2 linked regions of the Cricetulus griseus genome follow. The protein of the gene in region 2 binds, or shares a complex with, the protein of the main gene of each other region. Links are inferred from orthologs where the notes say so. Each region holds a gene or a part of one and is shown on either strand. Other genes may lie near its edges.

Region 1 (9,494 bases), on a different chromosome or scaffold from region 2:
ATACCACATTAGTGAATACTAGAATACATTTTTGGGTAATGGGAAATAGTCACATTGATTTTACTAGACAAAGTAAAACTGCTCTACTATTACCTGCAGTGAATGAGAATTCTGGCTGTTTCTTATGCTCCTTTGTGAGGTTCTGGGAGAGCAAACTCAGACCCTCACACACAATAGACAAGGGCTCTGCCACTGAGCTATATCCCTAGCACCCTGTTCCATGTCCTTTCTGTCAGTGTGGTATAAAACCATCATTCTCAGGCTGGCAAGATGGTTCAGCTGGTAAAGGTTGCTTACCACCAAATCTAACAAGTTGTCCACTGACCTTCACATGCTTAATGTGACACACATGTGCATACATGTGCATACGCACATAAAAAACACCATAAAATTACATTCTTCTTCAGTGCTGGCATGTCATCAACCCAAATATCAAATGCATAAAACACTTAGATCTAGCAATCTGACTTGAAGAAATCTATATAACACAGACAAAACTTGTCCCATTGGGTACTGACCTTGGAATCAGAGCTTTGGACTCCTCAGCAGTTTCTGGACAAAGATTGGCTAAACAGGCCAACTCAAACTTATGTAGCTTTTTCTGGAGAAGCAAGCTGATTGCAGGGAAAATAAAAATTTAGAAAGACAAACAAAGGAGAAGTGAAACAAGAGCAGAAATGGGGAGAAATGAGTTGGATCAAAATATATTATGTACAATTAACATATGCTAATAAAAAGCAAAAAAGTCAAATGTCAAACAATGATCAATAGCAAAAAGACCAAATGCAGTTGAGAAAAAATATTTACAATCTTTGATTATGGTCATGTGGGCAACAGAATCCCCTTTTGAATCACTTCCTAGTCTTAACCCTGAAACAAAAGTTCCAGAAAAAAGGAAACAAGTAAAACACAGCAGGTAGAGTCAAGGAAACAAGAAACAAGTGAGCACAGCAGAGTAAAAGAGGCATCTGCTGTATTAGAGAAATCACACAGTGGGTAAGAGCATTCACTGCTACTCTTTCACAGGGCCCAGGTTTGGCTCCCAGTACCCACATGGTGGCTCACAACTGCCTGAAATTCCAGATCTGTGGACTCTGATACCCGTCTCTGGCCTCCCATGTTTACCTGGCACTCATGTGGTGCAAAGGCAAAACACTCACATATAAAAATAAATTTAATAAATGTTAAAAGCATCTGCCAATCACACCTCATGAAAACCCAAAGCGACAGATGTTTTCCTCCAGAAAGTCACTCTCTAGCTCTCTGATCTTCCTGCTATATTTGATAAGTTAATGTCAAACAACAATTTATTAAGTATGTTGACATGGAAGTAACTCTCCTTTAACTTTAAAAATAAATACACCAAACTCTGCTTTGTGCAACTGTGTGTGTCAACTGCATCTTCAGTATTTTCATGGTCTACACTATAAAATAAGGCTTACCACGATGAATTTCATTTCAAAATATAGTATTAAGAAGTTATATTTGAAGCTGGGTGATGGTGGTGCATGCCTTTAATCCCAGCACTCAGGAGATAGAGGCAGGTAGATCTCTTTGAGATAGAGGCTGGCCTGTTCTAAAGAGTTAGTTCTAGGATGGCCAAGGCAAGAAATCCTATTTTAAAAAACAAACAAAAAAGACAGGGTCTCATGTAGTCAAGGATGGTTTTAAACCCACTATGAACCTAAGGATGACCTTGAACTCCCTGATTGCCTCTACCTCTCATGAGAATATACAATAATAAAACTTTAGGTAGGGCTGGAGAGATGGCTCAGCAGTTAAGAGTACTAGCTGTTCTTCCAGAGGACCTAGGTTCTGAGTCCCAGCACCCACATGGTGGTTCACAACTGCCTGTAATTCCAGTCCTGGGGATCTGATACCCTCTTCTGGTTTCTGTGGGCATTGCATGGTGCACAGACATACAAGCAGGCAAAATACTCTTAACCCTAGGTCGGGTGTGGTGTGGTGGTACACGAACGCCTTTGATGTCATTACTTGGGGAGGGGGCGTGGCAGAGGCAGGCTGATCTCTGTGAGTTTGAGGCCAGCCTGGTCTACAAATCGAGTTCCGGAACAGCCGGGGCTGTTACACAAAAAAACCTTGTTTCAAACAAAACTTCCCCCGAGCAAAAAAAAACCCTTACAACATATATAAGTAAATTTTGTCTTTTAACTCTTAGTACTCACCTACGAACACTGGCAATGGTCTCTCTGTTTTTGAAACGACTGAAGCGGGCTGTATAGTTTAGGGTTTTCATGAAAACCTCTGAAAGTTCCTGCTCATCCTCTGCACTCTCATTCTGCTGTTTTCGATGCTCCAGAAGCATGTGAACTTCGGAGTTTAGGAGAGTCTCGGCTGTTTCAAACTCTGCAAGAAGAGCAAGTGTGAACTAAAAGTACTCTTTTAAAAAGCATGCATCCGCCAGTCAGTAGTGGCTCATACCTTTAGTTCCAGGATTTGGGCAGCAGAGACTAGATGATCTTTGAATTTGAAGCCAGCCTGGCTTATATTAGTGACCTGCAGGAAAGTCAGAAACACATAGAGACTCAAAAACAAACAAACAAACAAACACACACCAAAAAGCAAAACTATAGGGTTGGAGAAATGAGCATATACTACTCTTGCAAAGGAAGTTCAATTCCCAGCACCCACATCAGACACCTTACAGCACCTCTGGCCTCCTCAGGTACCTGTACACTTAATAAAAATAAAAGTAAATCTTAAAACACTAACATAAGAGCTGGAGGGAGGGCTCAGCACTTAAGAGCACTGGCTTCCAGAGGATCAAGGTTCTGTTCCCAGCACTCATGTGGTGGCTTACAATCATCTGTAAGTCCAATTCCAGGTAATCAAATGCCTAGTTATGGCTCCTATGGGCACCAGACATACATGCCGGCAAAACATCCTTATATATAAAATTTTGAAAAGTAAGATTTTTCATCTCAATTAAAAAAAAAAGAGAAAAGATAAAATCACTATTTAGGGCTGGGCAGATGCTTAGGTTGATAAAGTACTTGCCACTCAAGTGTGAGGAGCAGAGTTGAGATCCTCAGAACCCCAAAAATTGGTATAGTGGGGTGCCTGTATCCAGCAGTTGGTAGTGAGACAAGGTATTTATTCCCTGGAGGCAAGCTGACCAGTTAGATCAGCTGTGAGCTCTGGGTTCAGCAAGAGTTTGCCTCAGTAAGTGGAAAATAATCAAGGAGGTTATTTAACATTAACTCCAGGCCTCTAAAAGCACCTGCATAAGAACATGTGCCCACACATATGTACATAACATATACATACACACACAAACAAATAAGTTAATGTTGCTATCTGGGCTGGGAATGTACCTTGGTTGATAGAATGTTTCCTCAGTATGCACAAAGCCATAAATTCCATCCACTGCACCACACAAATTGGGCACATGGCTGTAATACCAGGACTTGGGAGACAGAGACAGGAGAATCTCTGCATGTGTGATGCCAGCCTGGTCTACATAGAAAATTCCAGGTTAGGGCTGGAGAGACGGCTCAGAGGTTAAGAGCACTGACTGCTCTTCCAGAGGTCCTGAGTTCAATTCCCAGCAACCACATGGTGGCTCACAATCATCCACTATGAGATCTGGTGCCCTCTTCTGGTGTGCAGATATACTGGAAGCAGAATGTTGTATACATAATAAATAAATAAAATCTTAAAAAAAAAAAAGAAAAGAAAATTCCAGGCTAGCCAGTGCTACATGAGACTCTATCTCAAAAATTGGGGGTGGGAGGAGCGAGGGCATAGTCCACAGAGAAGGCTTAGTAGTTGAGAAGTCTTGATGTTCTTACAGAGAACCCAAATTCAGTTCCCCACAACCAATTCAAACGGTTCACATAAATCCATACATCCAGCTCCAGGCAATATGATACCTTTGGGCTCCACAGGTACCTGTATACACGTGAGTCTGAGAGTATGTGCACACAAGCACGCACGCACGACACACACACAATTTTTCTGTAGACACTTGGTTACAGATATCAATAATTTTTGTTATCAGGCCGGGTGTTGGTGGCCCACGCCTTTAATTCCAACACTCAGGAGGCAGAGGCAGGTGGATCTCTGAGTTCAAAGCCAGCCTGGTCTACAGAGTGAGTGCCAGGATAGGCTCCAAAGCTACACAGAGAAACCCTGTCTCCAAAAACCAAAAAAAAAAAAAAAAAAAAAAAAAGGATTTGTTATCATAAACAGGGGCTGGGGATGTAGCTCAATTTTTAGAGTGTTTGTTTAGAACGCACAAAAAACTAGGCTTAAGCCCGGTGGTGGTGGCATAAGCCTTTAATCCCAATACTCAGGAGACAGAGGCAGGAGGATCTCTGTAAGTTCCAGCTAGCATGGTCTACAGAGTGAGTTCCTGGACAGGCTCCAAAACTACAAAGAAATCCTGTCTTTAAAATAAAAACAAAACAAAACAAAAACAAAGAACAAAAAAAATCTAGGTTTAATTCCTAGCATCATGGAAGTAGAAGCAGGAGGATGGCAAGTTCAAGGCCATTCTTGCCTACTTCCTAGTTTCAAGCCAGTCTGGGCTACATGAGACCCTGCTCAAAACAAAACTCACAAAGGCACAGCACTCATCTTGGTGTTTTACTCGAATGCCTAGGCTAGCCTTGAACTCTTGGGCTCAAACTATTCACCTACCACAGGCTCCCTGTAGCAGGAGCAAGGTGGCACACAAAAATACATTGAACAGCAGGTACCAGTCATCCCAGACTGGAACCCATCTTGCTTCCAACTGTTCTTCATAACTCAAAAATATAAAAAGAGGGCCCAGAACCCAATGACAACAGCATCTCTGCTCAGGAGCAATGGCACTCTTCTGACCTATAGACCTTGAGATGCTTTTGACTAGCACTATAATGGGGCTATAGCTGAGTTTCTGCCAGCTGTCAATTTAGAATAGAGACCTCTGCTCCGACCTGCAGTGGTGGTGCACGCCTTTAATCCCAGCACTTGGGAGCCAGAGACAGGATCTCTGTGAGTTCGAGGCCTGCCTGTTCTTCAGATCGAGGACAGGCTCCAAAGCTACAGAGAAACCCTGCCTCAAAAAGCAAAACAAAACAAAACTAAGACCTGTGCTCCAGATCTGCCTTTTGCATGCCAGAAAATGGACATAAATACCTCTAAATGTCAAGAGCCCATGCCCTTAATTCCACCACTCAGGAGAATGGGGCAGGAATGTGACAAGTTGGAGGCCAGCCTAGGATACATAGCATGAAACTCTGAAAAAAACAAAACTGCCAGGTGTGAGACGCACGCCTTTGATTCGAACACTCACAAGGCAGAGGCTGGCTGATTTCATTGAGTTCAGGGCCAGCCTGGTCTACAATATGAACTGCAGGCCATCCAGGACTACAAGTGAGACACAGTTTCAAACAATAAACAAACAAACAAACATAGGGGGATCTCTGCGAGTTCGAGGCCAGAAACTCTGTCTCGAAAAAGCAGGAAAAAAAAAAGGTAGCAAGTGGCACTACAAGAGTAGGGTATGTGGATATCCACGATTCCAAAACCCCGGGCGTGGACGTTTCTCCAAGGAATTAAGTAAACCACGCAAGGGTTCATCTGTGCCGTGCTGACCAATCCCCTGTGCGTATCCCTTGGCAATCCTACGACGTGCCAGGGCTAGGGCTAACCAAGGAGCGGATAACGACTGTAACTCAAGGACCATGTCACCTCGGAGTCGAGGTGCCCCGGGTCCCACCTTTAGGAAAGATGAGCTGAGACGCGTCTTCTTCTACGTCGCCAGCCCGGGGATCGCTGCCGCCGGCCGCCATTGCTTCAGGATGTACCGCCACAGAAACCACCGGAAACGGAAGCCGCGAGGGCGGGCTACCCACCAAGGGAGGAACCTATCCGGTTCAGGGGCGGGGCCAGATGGAAAGGGCGGGCCCTAAGGAAGCCGAGTGGGCGGGAGGGGAAGGTTGGAAGGGGGAGGTACTGGGGCCACTCACGAGACTGGCCTCACTGCGCGAGGAGGGCGCTCAGGTCGCATTCCTGGTGGCTCCCGGTCGTTGGAGGGGGTTCTGTACTGCCGTCTTGGAGATGAGCTGTTTATTTTCTCCAAACGCTCTTGCCGTGAGACCTGGAATGGTCAGTAAACCCGTTCAGGAGAAAAGGATTAAGTGAAGTGCAGGAAAGACCAAAGTGACCGACCCAAGGAATGGCCTATGATGGGAAGGAAGCTGGGTAGGTGACTACAGAAACATATTGGAATGTCTTTCAATGATTTGATTATGTAAAAAACAAATTGATTAACCCGATGTGGTGGTCATGTATTAATCTACTGGGCAAGAGGATAAAGAGTTGAAGGAGAGCGGTGTATAGTGGCAGATGCCTTTAATCCCAGCAGTTGCAAGGCAGGAGCAGGAGGATCTTAGAGTTCAACGACAGTGATAGTTTCAGGACAGCCAGAGCTACAGAGTGAGACCATGTCTCAAAAAACCAAAACAAGCAAAAACAACGTTCGAGACTGAGCCTTGGCTATATAGCAAATCCGTGATTCATGCCAATCCAGGCTACATACCATCCTGTTGCAAAATGGGGTGCGAGGGTTAATTGTTTGTACTGTATTTAATAATTCAGAGCAAATGAACTCTAATATTGAGAATCCTTTAGTGTGTCTGTGGGACGTTTGAATCATAAGTGGAAAGTTAAAGGAAAAAGTAATGCTATTTTCAACACAAGAGAAAACAAGTGTTTGTACAATAAGGGGGGAAAAAATCTTCCCCAGCGCTTGGCTCATTAGGAAACAGTACTAAATTCAGCTAACTTAATAAAAAATGAATTGAAGGGGTTGGAGAGATGGCACTGTGATTAAGAACACTGATGTGCTTTTAGAAGACCTGAGTTAATTTCCAGAATCCACATTAGGAGGCTCACAAACACCTGTTGACTCCAGCTACAAGGGATCCAAAGCCCTTTCTATCCTCTTTTGGAGCACACACACCCTGTACATACACACAAAATAAATCTTTTTTGTTGTTCTTTTTCGAGACAGGATGTATCTGTGTTAACAGTCCTTATTGTCCTGGAACTCATTCTGTAGACCAGGCTGGACTTGAACTCACAAAGATCCACCTGCCTCTGCCTCCCGAGTGCTGGTATTCAAGGTGTGCACCACCACCACTCGGCTCAAAATAAATCTTTAAAAATGGATTGAAAGCCGGGTGGTGGTGCCTTTAGTCCCAGCACTCGGGGGACAGAGGCAGGCGGATCTCTGTGAGTTCGAGACCAGCCTGGTCTACAAGAGCTAGTTCCAGAACAGCCTCCAAAGCCACAGAGAAAACCTGTCTCAAACCCCCCCCCCCAAAAAAAAATGGATTGAAAACTGGGCAGATGGCTCTTAACCACTAAGCCATGTCTTCAGCCCCTGTTGTGAAGTTCTCATATACTGTTCAGGAAAGCACTGTGAAATGCTTAAAAAACTCTGTTCTTTACAGAGGTCCTAGGTTCAATTTCCAGCACCCACATGGCAGCTCACAATCATCTATAACTGTAGTCCCAGGGAATCCAATGGCCTCTTCTGGTGTGCAGAGATACATGTAGATAAAACACCCATATAAATAAAATAAACAAATAAATCTTAGAAACAAAACTATAAAACTTCACAACATATATGCTGGGGCTTATCAAAATTCCTGAAAAGATATCCAAGACAATAGTTCATGGTTATACTGCATCTAAATAGTTAGAAATGGGCTGGAGGTTCAGCACATACCCAGGACCCAGGGAAAGACAGACAGACAGACAGACAGACAGACAGACACACACACACACACACACACACACAGAGAGAGAGAGAGAGAGAGAGAGAGAGAGAGAGAGAGAGAGAGAGAGAGAGAGAGAAGTCACCAAGTATATAGAAAAAAAAGCAGAGTAACAAAAATATAAACTTGACATTTCACAGGTTGGTTATTTATTGCATTTTCATTCAAGAAATCATTAAAAGCCATCTGTAAGGCATGAGGTTAAAATGATGAGTTAGGTATAAATCTGTCCTCAAAGTGAGCTCACCAACAGTAAATGATATAACGGAAAGTTAAACAAGGTGCTGCTAAGGAAAGATAGCGTCTAAAGTTGGGGTGTGGTTTAAATGTATCCCCTGAAGGTTTGTGTATTGGAAGCTTGATTCCCCTAAACTTGGAAGTAGAACTGGTGGGACTTTTAAGAGGTGGGGACTGGGACTGGGGAGATGCTCAGTCACTAAAGTGCTTGCCATGAAAGTGTGAGGACCCACATTTCATCTGAAAGAGAGTTTGGGGAACATAGGTGGACAAGGAAAGAAAAAGCAGGCTCTCTTGTTCCCAGAAGACATTAGAATCGACAGCAGGAAAGCATGGAGACAGGTATCTAAACAGGACCACCCATGATGGGAAGGGGAGATTCCAGGGGCCCTATAAAATACTCAAGCAAGAGTCCATTTAGGAATTCTGACCAGGGATTCTCCCATCCCTAAGGAATAAAGCTGTTACTTTCCCTTTCTCCAGGGCTCAGTCTTCTGTCTTTCCTAGGTGTTCAAATTCTTTGTCCATATCAGGGAGTGAGCTTGATGGCTCCCTAGATGACCACCGTGTCCTTGTTATAGAGCCTTAGAACCCACATAAAGTGCTAATAATCCAGGCATTGGGGAAGAAGAAGATAGATACAATCCCTAGGGATCACTAGCCAGTCAGTCTAGCCTAATTGTAAATTAAGGGTTCTGAGAGACCTCCCTCAAAGGAACCAGATGACATTCCGATAAGGTTGTTCTCTGTACTGTACATGGATATGTTTACACTCAGAGAGAGAGAGAGCGAGAGAGAGAGAGAGAGAGAGAGAGAGAGAGAGAGAGAGAGAGAGAGAGAGAGAGATGCTCAGTGGTTAAAGGTACTTGCCACCAAGCCTGAGGAGCTGAGTTTAATTTCTGGTATCCACATGATGGAGAAGATTGATTCCCAAAAGTTGCCCTCTGACCTCCATACATGGTGCCCGAACATGTGTGTGAACACACATAGTATTTTAAAGGTTTCAATGATTTGTTTTAAAAAGAAGTGAGACCTTATAGAATGTCCTTAGATCACTGAGGCATACCTTTAGGAGTGATTAATGTAGTTAGTACCCTTTGCACAACAGACTCTCTGAATTTCATTCACCTTTGCCATGTATTCTCTCCTCTTATATGCATTCTTCATAATGCCATGTATCGTGAGGTCCTCAACAGAGCACCATTCCCTTCAGTTTCCAGAACTGTGGCAGATTTTTTTTTTTCTGTGTCCTAGCAGCTGCTTCCAAATAACCACTCAGAGACTTAATATTAATTACAAGTTCTCAGTCAATAGCTCAAGCTTGCTACTAGCTAACTAACATTTTAAATGAACCCATGTCTATCCCTTCACTTGCTGCTATGTGGCTCATGGCTTATTATCTCATTTCGTACATATCCTGCTTCCTCTGAGTCTGCCTTGAGACTCCTCAGGGTCTGCCATACTTCC
Region 2 (8,831 bases):
CTCACAACACCGTCCCCCTGGCACCAGGCCTGCTTGCTGGGGATGTAGTCTGCAGTAACCCCAATGGTGGTCCTCTCTGGTCAAGGGAAACACTGATGAGCCTGCAGGGTCTGTTAGCACCACCATCCTGTCCTGTGACATGTGTCATGGTGGAAACATGGGGAGTGAAGCCCCCACAGGAAGAGCAGAGCTGAGGGTTTGGGTGGTGGGGACTAGGCATACCTGCTCATACCAGGAGGCCACGGTGCTTTCCATGTATTGGTAGCTGGTAAAGAAGGCCACAATGCCGTCGGGGACCACAGCAGACATCTCCAGCAGGAGGTTGCCGTAGTTGCGGATTACAGCTAGGGAGAGGGGATTGGAGATTGGATCCTCTCCTGCTGCTCACTGAGGCTAGTTATCCAGTTCCTTCCTCCCAAGCCACCCAGAGACATGCCACAGCACAAGAAATACATAGAGGTGGCGGTGTCTCTTCTAGATGACACTCAGAAGCCAGTGCCCACTGTTCCAAAGGCCCTCTGCTGGTGCTACGGCTCAGTGGTGCCTGGTGGCACAGCTTCCAAAGTGAAGAGACCCAGGGTGGGCTCAACCCACAGTGGGCCTGTGTCCGCCACAGAGGCTGGTTGTGTGTGTGTGTGTGTGTGTTATGGTACCAAGTCCTTGTCCACCTGTAACCCACCCCAACCAAGCCCACACAGGTGACTCACCAATATCTTCCCTGGTCTCAAATTTGGAGCTGATGGCCACCTGGTCATTACCACGGCCAATGATCTGAAACAGAGTGAAGGTTCTGTGATACACCTGACAAATGTCCCCTTTTTTGACTTAGTGTCTCATGTAGCCCAGGCTGGCCTTTAGACGCGAGCTTCACTGAGGCTACCTACCCTCCCAAACCCATGAGAAGCTGTTTCCCCAACCTCTGAAGTTCCATGAACTCCTGGTCCTCCTGCCCACTTCCCAAGATCACAGGCCTGCATTACCACAGCTAGCTAGCACAGGCACTTCCATGTATTAGGCGAGCACTGTACCAAATAAGGCCCGAGCTCAGGAAAGCGTCATGTAGACATAGACAGTGGCCCTAAGCCTATGGCTGCAACTGCTTGGGCCAATGCCCTGCAACAGGTCCCAGGGCAGGGACCTCTGCTTCTAGGCAAGGCTACACTCCAGCCTTAGGTAGTTTCAGAACACAGGTCACCCAAAACACACACCCCATTAGCCTCCCTCCCCAGTCCACCATGCCAGTGAATGGTCAGAGGGAACATTCCAAAAAGCCCACAGCTCTGAAAACAACCGTCTAACTAACCCCTGCTGCCGAGAGCAGGCCTGCAGACAGGCTGTACACAGCTCGTGCTCCACAAGCATGCAAGCAGGCTACAAACCTTGCGTAAGGTTTAAAGTGTTTCTGATGTGCCAAACAGCATCCCCAGCCACAGCTGGCTTCATGTGGCCCATGGACTGTGGGGTGAATATGTCTAACAGCCGGCCACACTCTAAACTCCAAAACAGAGGCAGGCTCATTATCCAAGTCACAGCTGGATGACAAATGGCACACTCACCCTGACCTATACGGTGATAAAGCACCAGGCCTGCTCCCTGAGCACTATGGTCCAGGTTGCTGGGAAGAGACCCTTCCAGGCACCATTTGGTGGCTTGGTGCTCCCATGGGTCTCACCCACTCACCATTGGGCAGAGGCAGACTCGGGCCAGTGTCATGGTGAAGGTTGCCATGGTGACGGGGTGGAAGTCCAGGATCTTGGGGTAGATGTCCAGTGGGGACAGTGTCTGCAAGAGACAGCAAGGAGGACCTCAGCAGACTGGGGCAGGGACCAGGGCCCCCATGGAACAACAGCACAGAGTCCTCACCCCAGAGGTGATGATGACAGACTGGAAGCGCTCAAACACAGGCTTGATGGCCAAGGAGGCGTCCATACAACTGTGGGATAACACAGTCGTCACCCAGGGCAGAGGCCGGGGGCGAAGCCATCCTGTCCACACAGGCTTGCATCTCACCTGAAGTGCAGGATGGGGTTGGCAATGGTCGGGGTCCTGTCATCAAAGGGCTCGATGATAATGGTGAAGCCTGGGGAGGAGGAGGCCGGTGAGTGTGCACGACAGCCCCCGCCTGCCCCTGCCCCTGCCATGGCTAGCGCAGGACAGGACTGTACAAACGCTCAGGTGTGGAAGCAGGGTGAGCCAGGGCTTCACTGCACGGCCCCGCAGGGAGGCCAGGCCCGCCCTCCCCCAGGCCGGCCTCACTCCCACCTGTCCCCCCCTGCTCCCCACACTGCAGTCGGGGAGACGCTATGGAACCTTAAGTTGGCTGGTGTCTCCACACTCCTGCCATACCCAGAAGTGTGCCCATGAACTCTGCAGGGCCAGCCCTTGCTCCCAGCTACGGTATCAGCGTCATGTCCCAGGGCCCACTTGGTTGGTTGGGTCCTTGTTCCACAGGCACCCTGGGAGCCAGGACTCCTGCTCCTCACAGCACAGCCACACTTTCTAGTGTCCCCTTCTGGAGTGATCTTTGCTCCTAGCCCCCAGGCTGTGGCTCCCAGATGAGGGTAGGGATATGGACAGGAGGATGAGGGGGGCAACTAAGGCTGTGCTGGGCCCAGCCTGGCTGTGTGTGTTAGACTCCGGGCCCAGCCTGGCTGTGTTAGATCCCGCTGTCTCCACGGGGCCCAGCCTGGCCCATCTGTTGACTGAACAAATGATTACATTCACAGATTCTGTTTCACTTGGCAAGGAAAGACCAGGTCTTGTGTCCAGCATCATGCTGAGGACCCAGCAGAAACCAACAGAATCTCGGTCCTACCCAAAAGGGCTCTCCTTGCACGGGGGAGACAGCTAGCCAGAGACCCAGCTGGGACAGAGGGAGGGGCAGGCCCAGGATGGAATGGAGTGGGGGTGACTTTCTGAGAGGTAAAGGACTTGACTCGGGCAGGTGATGGGGCACAGGGAAGGAGGCTTTCTGTAAGACTGTGATGGATGCATCAGTAGGTGGGGGCCGGAGGGAGAACAATGAAGGCCAGGAGAAGAGGCTGGGTGAGGGCAGAAGGAAGCAGACAGCTGCCAGCAGCCCCTTCTTCCAAGGCTGGGCCAGCTGCAGGACGCCAGCTGACCTGGTTTCCTGGCTACGGTACTAATCCCCAGGGATAAGCTTAAAAACTCAGTGCAAAGCTGGGGCGGGCGGGGGCAACAAAAGCTGTAGCTTGTCCCCTCTCCCTGTGCATCACCTGCATCCCTCTCCCTCAAGGGCTTTTACATCTGGCCGCTTTCTCCCATAGCTCTCCCCAAGGCTCCCTTTTCCTGTCCCCACAGTCTATGGCTCCCCCTCTCTGTTGGATGAACCTTGAAAACAACAACCTCACCAAGTACATCCCTTGCCCAGACCCTGCCATGGCTCCCGGTGCCCTCAGGCACACATGAGGACTTCTCCCCCAGCCAAAGGTGGGCTGACCGCACAGCATCCCTCTGCTCAGTATCACAGCTCACTCGAGTTCTCCCCCTGCAGCCAGGAGGAGCCTCTAGACACACGAATCTGAACACGAGGCTCGCTCACTCGCTTGTTCCCCAGGGCCCTCATAGTAGCTCAAATCCCCTGTCTCACATGCCCAGACTTCCTGCTAATACCCCACCCGACTTAGCTAGGCCCCCAAGTCCGCTGCCAGGAGGAGCAAGAGGGGAGCTTACCCTTGGCGTAAGTGCTGACGAGAGTGGCGAAGTTAGCAAGGAGTGTGAGCGGGGAGAAGTCAGCCAGGTCAGCAATCTCCAAGGTGTGCAGGAGGGAGCGCAGGCGCTCAGCACAGAACCTGAGAAGCCATGGGGTCGGGAGAGGGAGGGAAGCAGCAATGGCTGGGACTCTCGCCACCTGTTTACCTGGGCATCGTCTGTGGCCAAGCTGTCCCCACACTGCAAACATCCACAGCTACCGCACAGCACTAGCACACGCACACGGCGCCCAGGTTTGCCGCTTGTATGCAAATTCTTGTCAAACAAGACCCATGGCCATCAGTCACTGTGCTGTGCAGCCAGTGTCGTGGGCCCCACGCTCAGAAAGAACAGCCACACACTTTCCCAGGCTCGCATATGCACACGCATAGGGCTGCAGAAGTACCAGGTAGTCCTGCAGCGGTCACAGCCAAGAGCTGACCTCACAGTGACACGGCTCGCTCCACATCCGACTCTGACCTGACCCCTGACCCCGTCACCAGCCACAGGTCTGGACCTGAGGTCCCCATGGCAGCATGCGCACCTGAGGGGCTTGCGTTGGATGCACACGCGCTGAGCCAGGCCGCTCAGGAAGGCAGGAGGGCTCTCCTGTACCACATGCTGCACGCGCAGCCGCCACTTGACGTACTCCAGCAGCCGCCGCAGGAAGCCCAGGAAGTGCTCGGCAGTGCGGATGGAGCCTGGCACGGCCTCTGCAGGGAGACTGAGTCAGCTGGCACGGGAAGGAAGGCGTGTGAGGGTGGGGGGTGGGGCACGGCTCACCCTGCAGCACCTCGTCCGGCAGCACAGGGTTCGCCAGGTGCGCGTCTGTCTCCCGCGCCGCGCTGGCCTCCCGCAGCCCCTCCACCAGGCGCCGGTACTCGTCCCGCAGCCGCTGCTCGTCTGTCTCCTTGATCCTGGCGGGGACATGGGACAGAGCTGGAATGGGGCAGGTGTCCAGGGCCACGGAGGCAGGCGGCACACAGGGAGCAGAGTGGGCACCTGAGCACCGTCTTCTGCAAGGTGTCCAAGTTGCTCTGGCAGCGGTCCAGAGTCCTGCGGGTGAGGTTTACACTCATGGAGTCGATGCAGACATTGTCTAGGAGGAAAGCAGACAGACATGGGCTCAGCCGGCTTGGGGGCGGGGCAGAGAGGCCGCCGCTGTCTGCACACCCTGGCACCCTCCTCACCAATGTTGTGGGCTTCATCGAAGACCACGACGGCCTTGCGGGCCAGCTCTTTGGACACCAGGTCTGCGATCTTGGGGTCCAGGAGATAGTGGTAGCTGTAAACCACCACGTTGGCATGCAGGATCTAGGAACATGGAGGGATAAGTTTTTGCCTTGGGCCCTGCTGCCCCCGCCATACCACTCCTTCCCAGGTGTACAGACGTAACACCAAGACAGACAGCAGGTGGATGGAAAAGACAGATGGGACCACCCAGGCAAGGCATAAACAGAGGCTGGAGACAGGAAGACCTAGGTACCAGGTCAACAAAGATGCAAGCAGACAGATGGGCTAACGGAGGGGTGGGCAAAAGTGGCTCATGCCTATAACCCCCATAGCTGGGAACCTGCGTAAGGTTCTTCTAAGTTTGAGGCCAGCCTGGGTTATAAGTGAGACCCTGCCCCAGAAGAAAACAAAACAACTCTTCACCGAGTATCGAGCCAGGAAGTAGGGGCACCAGCCCTGCCGCTGCCCCAGGGCCTTCAGGTCATCCAGGTTGTAGATGCCTGCCGGGAGGGGCACCTGGCGTCCGTGGGCATCAAACTCCTGGGGAGGCAGAAGATGGCAGTGTCAGGGAGAGCTGCTGTCCAGAGTGTCTCTGCCCTCCCCGGCCCGGGCCAGAAGATGGCAGGGTCAGGGAGAGCTGCTGTCCTGAGGGTGTCTGCCCTCCCCGGCCCGGGCCAGAAGATGGAAGGGTCAGGGAGAGCTGCTGTCCTGAGGGTGTCTGCCCTCCCCGGCCCGGGCCCTTCCCTGCACCTCATAGAAGCGGCAGTGAGGCAGGCTGGCATCCTGCTGGTACTGGGCCCGCACATATGAGGCTGTGAGGCTGTGACACTTGCCGTCCACGTCCTTCCCAAAGCGCAGTGGTGTCACCTGGGGGTTCAGGGGACAAGTTACAACAGAGACAGGAGGTAGTGCGTGCCAGCTACGCCAACCTGGGTTTCCCAACTCGGGACATCACAAGTAGCAGGTCAGCTGGGGTTTCTGGGCAGCCAGAACCTTCACCTGAGCCACTATTAGTTAAAAGGACTTGCTGCAGGGATGTCAGAGTGGGACATCAGAACCGTCCCCAGAGCTGGGCACGGCAGCACAGACCTGAATCCCAGTTACCAAGACAGCTGGAGCAGGAGGAATGCACCAACTCAGGCCAGCCCGGGCAAACACCAAGGCCCTACCTCACAATAAAACGTGTGCAGGGAGATACGCAGGCAGAACACTGTTTACATAACACATAAATTAATCTTAAAAAAACAACATAGAAGTGTTTATAAGTGTTTAAAAAATAAAAATCTAAGTTTCTCCCTCTCTCTCTCTCTTTTATTTTTTGTTGTTTTTTGGAGACAGGGTTTCTCTGTGTAGTTTCAGAGCCTATTGGCATTCGATCTGTAGACCACACTCGCCTCGAACTCACAGAGATCGCCTGCCTCTGCCTCCTGAGTGCTGGGATTAAACGCCCGGCTCTAAGTTTCTCTTTTAAAAAACAAGCTAGACAAGGCTAGAGAAATGGCTCAGAGGTTAAGAGCACTGGCTGCTGTTCCAGAGGTCTTGAGTTCAGTTCTTACCAACCACAACCATCTATAATGGGATCTGATGGCCTCTTCTGGAATAAGGGTGTACATGCAAATAGAGAACTCACATTAGATAAATAAATCTTAAAAAAAAAAAAAATTCAAGCCGACAGTTAGTGTCACATGTTTTTGAACCCAGCACTCAGGAGGATCTGTTAGTTTAAGGCCAGCCTGGTCTACAGAGTGAGTTCCAGGACAGCTAGGGCTACACAGAGAAACCCTGTCTTCACTGAGTAGCCCTTGGCTCAACTGTGTTTTGGGGTTCTGGAATACCTACATACATATAATAGATATCGTCAGATAGGACAGGAGGCTGCCATGAAATTCACTTATGTTTCATGTATATAAAAATCCTAACACTTCAAATGTGCTCTACCGTTTAGACTTTGACTTATCCCATGAGGTCAAATGAGAAATTCTGAGGCGTCACCCTGGCACTCCAGCAGTTTCTGTTCTAGGAGCAGGAGCTAACCTGCGCTCTGACTGATGACCCAAGATCTAACTGAAAAGGGAGTTACACTGGTGGTCACCTCACATGGCCACGGGCTGTCTCTGGGGCTTGCACTGGGTAGCCCAAGGCTGAGGGCGAGGCCCGGGTCTCACCTCGGGATGAATGCACAGGTTCTTTCTTGAGCTCAGAGCTAGTCCCAAGAACGGCAGCTTCTCGCCCTCCTGCTGCTCATAGAAGCTGAGCAGCTTGCGAAGCTCTTCTATGACCTGCTTAGACGATGGGAGCATTGCGTGGGGACCTCAGGACCAGCATAAGCCCCTGCCCACCAGGCCAGTGAGGGCAGCAACTGGGGACCACTGAGGCCGAGGGGAGGGGACAGACCACTGGGTCCATCCTCACTGCCCACCTTCTCAATCTCTGGCACAGTCCGAGAGCAGTAGATAAGTTTGGTCACCTCCAGCGGAAAAGCCTGTGGGTGACAATCAGCTCAGCCCCATCCAGCCCCTCCCCGCCCCCCAGTCCAGACACCCATGATGGTCACTCACCCTCTGGTAGGCCACTATCAGGGCCAGCAGGGACACTGTCTTCCCGGTGCCTGAGGGCATCTCCAGGACTCCATGACCCTGAAAGTTGGGCACAGAAGAGACAAGACACGGGCTCTCAGAACCTCGGGGTCATAAACTCTGGGGACCCTAGAGGACACCATTACCTAGGAACATGACACACACAACGGTGAACTGCCATCAAGGCCCAGGGAACAAGGGGCTTCATCTCTGCTTCTTTTTTGCTGGAGTTTTTATTTTTCATCCTTAATTTTCATCCCAAGGATCGTGCTCTGTAGCCTTGGCTAGTCTAGTACTTGCTATGCACCTCTGGCTGGCTTTGTACACTTGGTGATGCTCCTGCCTCTACCTCCTGAGTACTGGGGTTGCAGGCTGAGCCCTATTTCGTTGACCTCTCTGGATCACACCTGGGTCACAGCATCCTTGCTTGACTCCTTGGCTCCACAGCCCTTACTTGGAACAAGATTGTGAGGACTGCCAGGCGTTGGTGGCGCACGCCTTTAATCCCAGCACTCAGCAGGCAGAGGCAGGAGGCTCTTTGTGAGCTTGAGGCCAGCCTGGTCTACAGAGTGAGTTCCAGGACAGCCAGGGCTGTTACACAGAGAAACCCTGTCTTGAAAAACCAAAAAAGAAAGAAAGAAAGAAAAAAAAAAGATTAAGAGTATCAATAGACTTGTGGGCCAGTGAGATGACTCAGCAGGTAAAGGTACCTGGGGCCCAGCTGATCACTGAGTTCAATCCCCGGCACCTACACCGAAGGAAGAACCAAACTGCCTCCCAGAAGTTGTCCACTGACCTCCTCATGCACACCAGAGCATGGACACCCACACTCTAAATAAATAAATACAATTTTTAAAAATTGTTTTAAAGAAAGTTTGTGTTCAGGGCTGTTGAGTCAGCTCAGCACGTAAAGGCGGTTGCCATCAAGTCTACCAGCCTGAATTTGATTCCCAGGACCCGCATAAAAGTAGGAGACAACCAAGTCCACAAAGTTGTCCTCTGTCCTCCACATCCTGAACCCCCCCCCTTCCACTACTGTGACCATACACAGGCCAAATAGACTCTGAGTATCAACACCAGTCAGCCTGTCAAAGTCTGTCTGTCACCTGGAACCTAAGGCAGGAGAACTGCTAAGATCAGTGTCAGCCTGGGCTACAGAGTGAGCCTGGGCAATTTAGTTATGTCCTGTCTCATACAGAAAGGAAACAGAGGGCTGGGATGGAGCTCCAGGTGCAGACACTCTGCCCAGCATGTTGGTCTAATTCCCAGCAACAACAACAACAACAAAAAGCAACAAAATCACCCTGAGCT

The links.
Region 1: Ercc2 (region 2) and Polr2d share a complex: the UniProt entries of both Homo sapiens proteins name them as parts of the TBP-based Pol II pre-initiation complex. The link is inferred for Cricetulus griseus from reciprocal best matches to the Homo sapiens genes ERCC2 and POLR2D.

What each region holds. Positions count from the first base shown.
Region 1 is NC_048595.1:205,579,413-205,588,906, forward strand, and holds the start of Polr2d (DNA-directed RNA polymerase II subunit RPB4), read right to left. Parts: upstream 5,856-9,494; 5' UTR 5,799-5,855; coding exon 5,726-5,798; intron 2,368-5,725; coding exon 2,187-2,367; intron 615-2,186; coding exon 519-614; intron 1-518. UniProt on the Homo sapiens protein: Core component of RNA polymerase II (Pol II), a DNA-dependent RNA polymerase which synthesizes mRNA precursors and many functional non-coding RNAs using the four ribonucleoside triphosphates as substrates.
Region 2 is NC_048602.1:27,965,272-27,974,102, forward strand, and holds part of Ercc2 (general transcription and DNA repair factor IIH helicase subunit XPD), read right to left. Parts: intron 7,581-8,831; coding exon 7,503-7,580; intron 7,427-7,502; coding exon 7,364-7,426; intron 7,224-7,363; coding exon 7,110-7,223; intron 5,812-7,109; coding exon 5,695-5,811; intron 5,485-5,694; coding exon 5,368-5,484; intron 5,026-5,367; coding exon 4,902-5,025; intron 4,811-4,901; coding exon 4,714-4,810; intron 4,629-4,713; coding exon 4,495-4,628; intron 4,425-4,494; coding exon 4,256-4,424; intron 3,813-4,255; coding exon 3,694-3,812; intron 2,081-3,693; coding exon 2,011-2,080; intron 1,934-2,010; coding exon 1,864-1,933; intron 1,783-1,863; coding exon 1,681-1,782; intron 772-1,680; coding exon 708-771; intron 345-707; coding exon 223-344; intron 1-222. UniProt on the Homo sapiens protein: ATP-dependent 5'-3' DNA helicase. Component of the general transcription and DNA repair factor IIH (TFIIH) core complex, not absolutely essential for minimal transcription in vitro.